2 linked regions of the Drosophila melanogaster genome follow. The gene in region 2 interacts genetically with the main gene of each other region. Each region holds a gene or a part of one and is shown on either strand. Other genes may lie near its edges.

Evidence for each region. A genetic interaction does not mean that the proteins touch.
Region 1: of Rab4 (region 2) and mop, changing one suppresses a phenotype caused by changing the other (phenotypic suppression), as found in Drosophila melanogaster (one study listed by BioGRID).

What each region holds. Positions count from the first base shown.
Region 1 is NT_037436.4:14,770,130-14,778,078, reverse strand, and holds the start of mop (myopic), read left to right. Parts: upstream 1-1,949; 5' UTR 1,950-2,083; coding exon 2,084-2,167; intron 2,168-2,571; coding exon 2,572-3,321; intron 3,322-3,387; coding exon 3,388-6,330; intron 6,331-6,396; coding exon 6,397-7,389; intron 7,390-7,453; coding exon 7,454-7,582; intron 7,583-7,642; coding exon 7,643-7,824; intron 7,825-7,879; coding exon 7,880-7,949. Other genes in the region: bmm (brummer), read left to right, coding at 38-146, 313-401, 472-740, 1,094-1,278.
Region 2 is NT_033778.4:17,571,411-17,575,539, reverse strand, and holds Rab4 (Rab4), read right to left. Parts: upstream 2,079-4,129; 5' UTR 1,842-2,078; coding exon 1,826-1,841; intron 1,757-1,825; coding exon 1,676-1,756; intron 1,606-1,675; coding exon 1,273-1,605; intron 1,210-1,272; coding exon 998-1,209; 3' UTR 561-997; downstream 1-560. Other genes in the region: Dcr-2 (Dicer-2), read left to right, coding at 1-145; CG42239 (uncharacterized protein), read right to left, coding at 2,339-2,437, 2,507-2,617; UQCR-6.4 (Ubiquinol-cytochrome c reductase 6.4 kDa subunit), read left to right, coding at 2,836-2,888, 3,017-3,137; POSH (plenty of SH3s), read right to left, coding at 3,538-3,712, 3,774-4,067, 4,127-4,129.

The DNA of each region.
Region 1 (7,949 bases), on a different chromosome or scaffold from region 2:
CATATTTAACTATCATTTCTATTTGATCTATATTTAGAATATCAGCACTGACGCCCAAACTTACCAAGCAGGCCAGAGTAATGGTGGAGGACTTAATTTTGCAGTTGAACCACGCCATGCGGATACGACTGCTAAATAAATTCACGGTAAGTTAATTAGGTACCTGTCTTGTGATCATTTGCTTAAGTAATCAATTGAAGTGCATTAAGGCTGTCGCTCACATTTTCATAAATTTGTTTTATTTAGAATTGACGGCTGGCAATGAATTTGAATATGAAATGAATTATACTAACGAATGTGTTTTTATTGCAGCTCTATGACCAGCCTCACTTCGATGCCACAGGACTTCTTCATTCCAGCCGCTTATATGGACCCCGTGTTTCAATCCTTGTGGATGAATGGTAAGTTAAGCAGTAGGATTAATCCTCCAAGGAAGCGTTTAACTAATCGTGCCGTTCTTTTGGTTTTCAGTGGAGCCACACCGCTAGAGGACGATGTCGACAACTTTGAGCATGTCCTCAAGATGACCACGCACAACGACGCTCTATATGCCTATTACTATACTGACAGCAACACGAACAAGGTGAAAGTAACCGAGATCTTTGACTTTGACGAAATAACGGAGCACGACAAGCTGGCCACCGATCTGCAGATCTACGAAGGCTCTGTCGAAGATCACCCCAATCCCCACCAGCACAGCCACAATACGGTGGTCAGCGAATGGAATGGCGTCGAATCAGGTTGGTATTTGTGAAACGACCGCACTTTCAATTCAAAAATCACATCATTACGTAGAGAAATCGTATCATTTGAATCAACACCAAACATTTTTTGCAGTACAAGTAATGCCCACGACTCCTGAACTACACGACGTAGCCTTTTAAAGCACTTACAAACTAAACGACTATAAATGCACCTCCATAACCCTTCACCCACTCAAGCATTAAGTCCAAATTTTAAATCGTTGGCGCAGGTAAATGATCTAAATTTGCAATCACTCCCCCGTATATTCCCATAACAAAATTTCATTTTATATAGTTCGCTCTTATGAATGGTTAAACTAAACTCTGTCTTACTTTCTCATGCTCCACAGACTTCTTCATCGATGCGCATACACCAAATGTGGAGGATAGTAAAACATCAGCGCCACAATTCTCCCGCCTGGACCTGGAGACCGAGTCGGATGCTAGTGTGCTAAGTGATCCCGAGGTTGATCAGACTTTTAGCTCCACGGCCTCCACGCACAGCAGCGACATGTATATAGAAATTGAGGGGTAATTAGTAATGGGGAGGGGGCAATCCTCTTAGGAACTGTATCGAAACATCTCCAAAGCGGCTCGTAGCAAAGCGAAAAGCCTAGTAGCGTTTCCATTAGTCTAAATTAGTCTTAGTACGACCAACGTATGTACCTAACTTAACTTAGCCGTATGCTGCCATTGTATCATCGTCAGTTTGTAAGCGGCAATTAGCTAATAATTGCATTCTTGTTATTAGTCACCCTCACACGACTTGTATTACATCCAAATCCCCATCTGTGTTTAGCCTAAGTTGATAATGTATAAACAATAAAAAAAATAAACAACAAATATTTACAGAATGTCTGGTTGCGCATTTACTATTAATAAAATAACTAATTGTGATTAATGGGGAATTCAAGGAAGGAAAAAAAAAAACAAACAAAAATATGGTGCGCTTCGTCACTATGTAAACTGTCGTTCACAGTGATATATATGCAGTGCACTTCTTTCATCCATCTATAACAATTTATATAAATTGTTAGACATTCGCATTCGTAATATCAAATTTTTTAAATTTCATTTTCTTTATAAAATTTAATCGGCATAAAAATTTAATACTTCTGGAAAAGAATACCGTTCTAAAAAGTATCGATGCCAATGAATGGAATACCCCCTACGCACCTGCCATTTTTAGTGCATATTTCCAGAAAGCTGAAACGGCCACACTGCAACATTTTTCATAAAACAATCTTGTTTTGATATTGGTAAATTAATTGCCAGCAATTAGTTTAAATTGTGTGTAAAATAAAAGGCCAACTGGGCAGGCAACAAGTAAACTAATCACCATGGAGGCGGTGCCCCGTTTGCATATGCTCTGGTTCGCCCTAAAATCGAGTCCCGAGGGAACCTCCTTTGCGGCTTTGAAAAAGGTAAAAGGAAGAGAGTGCGAAAGGGGGAGTGAAATAATTAAGAGAGCCAGCAAAACAAAGAGGAGACAACTTGGTGAAACGGAATTATCGGTCAAATTGGGAAAATGCGTTGCTTATTGGATTCATATTGGAATCGAAATTCCCATTCTCACCATGCCATTTGCTCCATTGCATTTTCCGTTTTCACCAACTTTTAAGCCCCCTTTGTCTGGCGGCTGAGTCATCGTCGTCATCTGATTAAATTGGCAAACAAATAAAAAGTTATAAGCAAACACTGGCAGTTTGTTGGGTTATTGCACTTAATTCCCCATGAAAACCCATTTACCCTAAAATATATTCTTGTTTTCCTACACTAAACTCCATAACAAAAATCCAACTTAAAACATTTCACGTTTTACTTCCAGTACATCGCGGAATTTTATCATGAAGATCCAGAGGCTTACTCCAAAGAGGTCCATGCCCTGGAGACTTTGCGCAACCAGGCCATGCACACCACGAAAGATGGAGCGCCGGTGATGAAACGCTACTATTGCCAGCTACACGCCCTTCAGAATCGATTTCCACAGCTGGCGGATCGCGGAATCTTCACCTTTAAATGGAAGGATCTCTATCACAGTGCCGTTCACGAGGTCACTGATCTGCGATTCGAACGGGCTGCGGTGCTGTTCAACATTGCCGCATTGCACACTCAGTCCGGAGCGTCGGTGACCCGTGGCGATGTGGATGGAATGAAGATGGCCTGCACTCACTTCCAGGCGGCTGCTTGGGCCTATGGAGAGCTGAGAGAACGCTATGCCAATGTCAATGGCGGAGGGGATTTTATGACCCCAGAGCTGCTGGTCTTTCAGCAACAGGTGTGCTTTGCCCAAGCTCAGGAATGCATACTCGAGAAGTCGCTAATCGACAATAGGAAACCGCATATTGTGGCCAAAGTGACGGCGCAGATTGTGGTTTACTATGGAGCTGCACTGGCTGCTCTTCTTACGGGAGGAGATGATGGTCCAGTGGCTCAAGTCATCGATAGTTCTGTGTACAAACTGTGGAAGAAGTACGTTCGCTTCAAGATCAACTATCTCACCTGCATATTGTACCTATACCAGGGCCAACATTCCGAGGAGAAGCGTCAGATGGGCGAAAGGGTGACGCTCTACCAGGTAACTATAACATTTTGAGCTCTATTTAAAGGAAAGGTTTAAATGCTTACTTTATATTCCTTTCAGGCTTCCTGGGACAAACTGGAGGAGGCGCGCAAAGAGTCCAAGGGCCTTCCTGACCAGCGGGAAATCAATGAATCCCTCAGCTTCACCGCTGATGTGGTGGAAGCAAAGCGCAAAAATGCCAAAAACGAAAATGAGTTCATTTACCATGAGGCGGTGCCCGAATTGTCCACCATTGCAGCCGTCCAAGGTGCCAATTTGGTCAATGGGATTGGCTTTCAAGTAAGCGACGAGGAGCACGCGGGTCCAGACATCTTTGCCAGATTAGTGCCCATGAAGGCCCACGAAGCCAGCTCGTTGTACAGCGAAGAGAAAGCCAAACTTTTGCGTAAGTACGGAGCTCTGCTGGAGGAGAAGGACACCCAACTGGAGTCGTACATGAGCTCCCTCACCCTGGATAATCTGAATATCAACGAGGAGCAAGCCAATAAGTTGCCCCAGGGCATCGTGGATCGCTGTGCCGCCTTAAATGCAAACAAGACTGCTATCAGCGATCTTGTAGAGGCCATGTCTCAGCTGGCTGAGATTACAGCCGATGTGGAGACCAACCTGGGCGAGATTTCAAGCATGCTGGAGGCAGAAGCCAAAGCGGAGCGAGAGTTCCAATCCGCCACCGGCGTTCAACGAACACCAAATGCCCACATTACCGAGTTATCGCGAGAGTTCCAGAAATACAGTGAAGCCCATGCACGGGCAGGGGAATCCAATAATACCTTGCGGAAAGCCATGAGCCTGCACGTAAATAATCTAAAGATCCTGGCCAGACCATTGCCTGAGATTCAGCAACTGATGCCCAAACTAAGTTCGGAACTGAATACCACCGAAATTTTCAGGGATGTGAAGCTCATCCTCAACAAAGTCAACGAAATGAAGGCGCAACGTGCTCAGTTTCATGCGGATTTGAGGATAGCCATCAATGAGGATGATATCACTGGCAAAGTAATTGCCCACGGTGGACAGGAGGGCCTCCAAGCTTTATTTGCAACCGAGCTGGGCAAGCACGACAAGATCACCGAACTTCTCGATCAGAATATGGTGGCTCAAGGTAATATTCTGCAAGCTCTAACTGAAAACTATGCCAAGGCGGCACCAGTTTTGAAAACGCTCCAGGACGTGAAGCAGAAACGGGAGCACTTTTACAGCTCGCTAGCTGCATCCTATGATGTTTATGAGGATCTGCTGGCCAAATCCGCCAAGGGCTTGGAATTCTACAAGAAACTAGCCGGAAATGTACAGAAGCTACTTACCAGATTTCGATCCGCCAGGGATGTACAGTCCGAAGAGCGCCAGCAAAGGATGCAGAGCGTTAAGGCCGCAACAACTCCAGTTGTCAGCAAACCAATAGCGGAAACTACGCCTGTGCCAGCGGTGAGCAGCACCCCCAAATTAAGGGATTACCTCAAGGCCAAGGCAGCGATGGCGGATGCCTCGAATCCCGCCTATGTGCCTACAGTGCGTCCAGTGCCGGTGGGCTCGGAGAATCCCACGCAGGCCGCTTGTTCCTATGCCACTGCACCACCGAATGAGCCACCTCCACCCTATAGTCTCACACAGCAGCAGTATTTTGATCCCAGTGCCGCCGGCTACACGAATCCCATGTATCAGCAGCAACAGCAGCACATTGCTCCACCGGCCTACAAGGCCCAAGCATCGCCAAACTCTCAGACCCTCCACGGAGCGCTCGGTCAGATGAATTTGCAGGGCCAGTCGCAGGATAACAACCAAGCAGGCATGGCTTATAATTACGGGTATCCAAGTGGGTCTGTTCCTCCTCTAGCTTACGCTCCACCCGGAACAGTGCCCGCAAGCTCAGCTTCCCAGGGATTGAATATCCAGCAGCCTCTGTATGTGGCTACATCGGGCAATCCAGTTTCGGTTTCAAATCCCAGTGAGCTGCCGTCCACCCTGCAGGCACCCTTCGTGGTCAATCCAATGTCCAATCCCTACCAAACAGCGGCAGGTTATTCAGGGCAGGCTTACCAACAGGTCAATGCTCAAGCTCAACAGGTGACTTATCCTACAGCACCATCGGGCTCTTCAACAGGACAATCAGCTCAACAGCCCTTGGGTTATGCGCCAAGTCAGGGGCCACAGCAGCAAGCTGGTGGATATCCACAATCTCAGACACCGCAGCAACAGGTGGGAGCTTATCAACAGCAGCCATTATCAGGCTATGCCCAACAGCTGACGCCTCAGCAACAAACTGGATATTCACAGTCGCAAGCACCGCAGCTCCAAGCGCCCAGCTATGCCCAAAATCAGCAATCGACTGGACAAGCACAGCAGCAACAGACTGGATATCCACAGACACCTCAACAACATCTAGCTGGGTATGCTCAGTCCCAGCAACAGGCTACAGGATATCCACAATCGCAGACATCGCAGCAGCAGACCACCGGGTATTCCCAGTCCCAGACGCCTCAACAACCACTGGCATATCAGCAGCAACCATCTGGTTATCCACAACAACAACAACAGCAGTCACTTGCTCCGCAACAGCCATCACTTTATCCATCGCAGGCTGTCCAGGCGTCGCCACAACCTATTCCTGGCCAGCAGGCAACACCTCCGAATGCTGGGCAACCTTTGCCATATCCACAGCAGTACACTGATCCCAATGCAGCTCCAGCTCCAGCTCCTGGGGTTTCTTCTGTACCAAGTCCTGTTCCAGTACCGACTCCAGCCCCCACTTCATCTCAAGCTCAGGTTCCCACATCTCCGCATCCTTCGGCCACCTACACCAGCTATTCCAACCATCCTGGCTATAGCTTTAATCCGCAGACAGGTAAATACGAGTACAGCAGTGGCTATCAGCAGGATACCAGTTCGTTGAAGGGATCCCAAGCCTCGCAAAGCTACCAGTTTAGCCAGAGTGGCAAGCAGCAGTCGGTGGGAACAACGGACTCAGAGATTGCCAGTCGCAGCAATACCGCCACTGGATTCGATGTAAGTGCTATGCCCATATATATTAAAGGTATTGAGACCTAAAATAACGAAATTTTTATCCAACAGTCACCTATCGTGTCCCACACCAAGGTTAATATGGCAGCTAAGGACTCCACTTCTGCGATAGAGGGCAATGAGTCATCCAACTACTACTCCACTCCCTATGGATACCTTGGCAGTGTAAATCCGCAGCAACAACCCACTCCTGCGCCTCCTTCGAATTCAACTGCTTCAATTTATATGCAAAGTGGAGCGAGCAGCACTGCTGAAACCCAGACGACTTCCAGCGGAGTTCCTTACGCCTCCTCCGCGGCTTTGACCAAAGTAGAACCAAAGCCGGAGGCATTGCCTCCCAAGGTTACCAGCAATGTGGATCTGCTTAGCGACCTGGACATTGACTGCTCCGTTGCTGTTCCGCCGCCAATGTTGCCGCAGCCTGTTTTGCAGCCCCAGGTGGTGGCCACTCCTACGCCGCCGGCAAGTCAGGTATCGGTGCCTGTTAAGGTAGAAAGTGTGGCAGAGCACGCTGCTCCCGCAACAGCGGAAATTCCTGTAGCAGCCACCGAGGGAACTGCTCAAACTCCAGTTACCATTCCTTCGGGTCCGAAGTGTGCCAGTTTAGATAACCTATCCAACTGTTCCGACCTAAGTTCCCTGGAGAACTTTGACTGGGACTCGGTATCCGTTACACATTCCGTCAGTGAGAAACAGACCAAGGCATCTGCCACAGCCAATGGCCATTCGAGCAGTTTTGCATTCCAATCCGAAACTTTTACGGACGAAAAAACGACAAAATATTTCCAAAAGGAGGTGGAGAGCTATGAAAAATTACTAGAGAATTTGCACGTGAAAATGTTGAATGGAAAAACACAACTGGGCGCCAAATGGCAAGAGCTGCAGCAAAAGTTGGATAAAGAAGCCGCTGCCAACAAGCGATCCACCACCATTGCGAAATTGTTCCCGGAGAAAAATCGATCCCTTGATTGTCTGCCATACGATCATGCCAGAGTAAAGCTGGACAAGCAGACCGATGACTACATCAATGCCGCCTACATGAAGGTGAGTTATTCCAGAAAATGTTTTTATAGCACACAATCTTTAAACGCCGTTGTTATTCATTTAGAACTTGAGTGCCGGCTGTCCCAACTTTATTGTCGCTCAGACTCCCCAGCCAAATACCATCAACGATTTCTGGTCCATGATCTGGTCGGAGAAGTCGCGCACTGTGGTTTGCCTGCACACCCCAAATGAAGTGAGTAACTTCAGCAAAACTATGAGATTATTGAATCTAAATATTTGATATGTTCTATAGCTTTTCGATCCCTACTGGCCGCAAGCTTTGGACCAGCCGACTCATTATGATGATTACACCGTGACCTGCTTAAAAGTGCAGCAACTTAGCCACTGCTCCGAGTATCAACTTAAATTGTCCATGCATGGAGCGGACGCAGTGCTGGATTTATCTCTACTGCAGCTGAAACAGTGGACCAAGGGGTAACATGTCCAGATTTCGTCCGATGGAAAGAAATAAATAATTGCTATTTTACAGGGCTCCAGCTCAACTTCTGGGTGTGGCGGAAAATGCTTTGGAGACCCATCGACAACGCTGCAAGGCAGCC
Region 2 (4,129 bases):
CGAAGGGGAAACTGTAATGGTTAGTTGTCAATTTACCTGCATGGAAAAGACGATCAAGGTGTACGGATTTGGGAGCAATAAGGACCAGGCCAAGCTATCGGCTGCCAAGCACGCCCTTCAGCAGCTAAGCAAATGCGACGCCTAATATGATGATTCCAGCCCAGTCTAGTTTCTGCTAAACTGCATTGAATTTGCTTTCTAGCCAAGACGTAATCCTTTGGAAGAGGACAGCAAAGGGCACCTAATGAACTTAACTGTATATCTTAGAATTAAAAAATACTTTTCCATCGCTTTAATAGACATAAATGTCTAAAACCAAAAAATCATTTTTGATCACCATAAATTGTTAAGACCTTTTAAATCAAAACAAAAACAGCCCATTTGGAAACACAATCTAAAGATGCTATGCCAATTTCCTCAAATACAAACGGTTTTTAATTATTTTTTTATCAATTATTGCCATTTAAAATGTTTTAGCTTCATTGTTATTAATAAAATTTAATAGCTTCCCCAATACAATATTTGTTACCTTGGGTCGAAATAAATATTTTTATACAATTGAATTTATCAATGGGCGTTTTTATTTACCGCGTGCATGCTTCAATGGGATTTACAATCGGCGACGTCGTCAACGGCGTATCGCTACTTATTTACATTAAAAATGCCGAGTGTATTCTGTTCATCCTCTAGATCAGATCCATGTGCTTATAGCCATACATCATTTGTTGCTCGAGGGCTCTAGTGCTTCACGAATTACAAATTATAGTAAGTAACATTTGGGGTTAACCCGAAATCATAGGTTTTCAAAGTGGTAATTGGTTATGTTAAAAAACAAATCGATTAGCATTATGCTTACAATTGGAATGATTAATCTAGCAAGACAAAATACATACTAAAAAAGTGGACACACACAAGTACACAATACAACTAAGGGGTAATCCGAATGCGCATTCCGGTTTGAGATTAAATGGAAATAAATCAGCACAACTTATGCGACTTAAACGCGACAGGTGCAATCCGGCTTATTGATGCTGCGCTGTCGTGTCTGTAAGTTACGGAGAGCAGCTCCGCCGTACTGAATACCGCTGCCGATGCGCTCGGGATCCAGCTCTCCGGTCTCAATTTTGGCCAGTATGGTCTTTGAGCACTTGAGAAAGGCCTCTTCAACATTCTCCCCCGTCTTGGCGCTCGTCTCCAGGAAGATAAGCTCTGCAACGACAAACAGACGTAGAATTACGATAGGAAATTTATGGAGAATCCTAAAAAACAGACCGTTCTCTTGGGCAAAGGTGCTTGCTTCCAGAAAGGTCACATCACGCGCCTCCTCCAAGTCCTTTTTATTGCCCACCAAAAGGATCACAATATTTGGGCTGGCCAGAGTGCGAGCATCATTCAGCCAGTTTGTCAAAGCATTGAAAGAGTCCCGCGAAGTGGCATCGTAGACCAGGAGAGCTCCGGCTGCTCCGCGATAGTACGATCTTGTCACCGATCGGAATCTCTCCTGACCGGCTGTGTCCCATATCTGTAGCTTTACCGACTTGCCGCCCACGTTCACAATCCGCGAGCCGAACTCCACTCCGATGGTGTGCGAACTGTCGTCTTTGACTTTGATGGTACATCAAAATGTATAAAATGCATTAGGCGTGTACCATTTTCAGGCTACCACCAAACTTACACTTGCTCTCGATGAAGTGATGCAACAGACAACTCTTACCGCTGCCAGCACTGCCAATTATCAGGAACTTGAACAGGTAATCTAGGTGAGCGCCGAGCACCGATATTAATTAGTAAAATGCATTAATTAATTAAATGTGTGCTGACAAACCGTATGTTTCCGACATTGTTTTTGTTCGTCTTCTGCGTAGTTGTCTTCTTTGTTTGTTTTGGTTTTTCGGCCAGACTTCAGGACTATCGGATTGCTGGTGCGTATGGGCACCAGGAAGTGCGCAGGACACGATCAAAACCCGCAATATCCGTCGATAAGTAAGCGTTTAAACAATTAGAAAGCCAAAAATTACCTTAAAATCTTTGACTGGACTCACTTCAGTGAGAAGGTTCGCTACAAACGCGAAAATACCAACAAGGGGTGGGTGTGACCAGGTGGTTCAAAATATGATTCATATTGCAATTAAGTTTTTGTTTACTTTTAAAATATTTCCAAATATATGAAAATTGCCGAAAGCTACAAAGAAAAAACAAAATATGAAATGCAGCCCACAAAGGTTTATTGTCTTTTTTCAAAAACCCTCTTCTATTCATCACACAATTTGCATACATACATATATGCAATAAAAGTATAAAAGATGGTGGGCCCTGGTAATCCAACCCGGCACATAGTCTACGTATCCTTTTGCTTCTCTGGTTCGTAGTCTTGATAGCAATTAATGGGATCCTTGGCCGTATAAACTGAGTATGCCAATTTGCTGCCCTTGAAGTTCTGTAAACTCAGGGCAGAAAGGGAAAATTACTTAAAATTAACCATTCTGATAAGCACTATCTGCCGTACCTTCATATCGCCAGATATCAGAGTCCAAAGGAAAACGAACACCGCCGGTATCACAGTGGACAGGACAAACAGCTCGAATGTGTTAAGCTCCCCAAAAACGGATATTTTCATTTTAATTTCGTAATTTTTGATGAGTTCTTTGCGAATATTAGTTTTTGTTGATGACTAGTTGTTGTTCTCACGTAGGCCGCACAGTGTTGTCACACCTTGCTTTTAAAGTTTTACGCTATCCTACGGTCACACTGTAGTGGTATTATTTAGGACATTTGAAACTATTGCGTTCATTGCGAACATTTTGGTGCGTGTGAAAAGTTATTAAATCAACAAAAATGGCTTTCCGCATACCTTTTGGCAAGAAGCACGCTGAGATAGCGAGTTCCTTGTAAGTATATGCTGTCGTGCTTGATTCTGCATCATGAATTCATTAGTGTTCCCGCTCTTTTACTGCTACCAAAGCACACATTGCATAACCCCATCCAGAGAACTAAACTAGTTTCTTTTAATTCGTAGCATCCGATCTGGAGCCGGATTCGGAGGAGCTGCTGGCCTGGCCGTGCTTTACTACACCGACTGGAAGCTGGTCCTACAGTACGTGCCCATCTACGGATCCAAGTTCGAAAAAAGCGAGTAACCTTGCCTGCCGTAGTTGAATCCACAGTTAGCCTCGATGTTTTGCTTGGTGAATAAAATAAGTTAAAACGACCAAAGGGTATTACTGAGTATCGTATATTACAAATAACTTTGTAGAGGGCACAAGGATCGGTTAGATTATTTCTCTAGCTAACTAATCGCTAAGGCTTAAGTAACTGTTCCCTAAGTCTTACATGGCTAGCCTATTTTGATCAAGCATTGTATAAAAAAGTACAACGGCGAGCTGCCCATTCGATTGGAAGAGTACAAAACGGTTTCTTTTTTGAAAAGAGAAATATGAGATTGCGTATTTGGAAGCCCGAATAGACCGACGATTGAATCCTTTTAGACAAGTAATTTGGAATTTCGCTTAATAAATTCTAGTTTGAACCATAACTTTCCTAACAATCCGGTTCAACAAAGGAGGCGGGGAACAGCCCGGTTTTGTGGGTACGGGCATGGGTGCCCTTATACCAGCCGTTCTTCTGCTTCCGCTGGACGTAGATAATGTCGCCCAAATGTAGCTCTAGTTCAATGTCACTGTTTGGTGGATACGGCACAATGCAGCGGAATCGACTACGATAAAAGGTTGCATTAGTAAATCTCTAAGCTCACAATAATGTATTGCAAAACCCACCTTTCCCTCGTGCAGTAAGGAGACTTAGTGGTGGCGCTGGCCTTAATGGCCGCCTCCGTGATCATATTGCTGCTGGGACTCAGCACATGACTCGCATCTAGGCTGTGCGACTTCCGATGGCTGGGTGCAATAATCATATTGGCATGCAACTGGGATTGCGCTCCACCTCCAGGAATCACCTGTTGCTGACCGCCGGCGTAGACAGCTGGGGCCACGGAAGTAGTAGGTGGCGGCGGCGACGCGGCATTGTTGTACATACTGCGAAATGTAGCTGCATCTAATGATTGTCTCGCGCTGAATCAAAATCCAAGAGTCAGTTAAAAGTTAAAGCATTCAAATTAAGCCTAACGAACCAA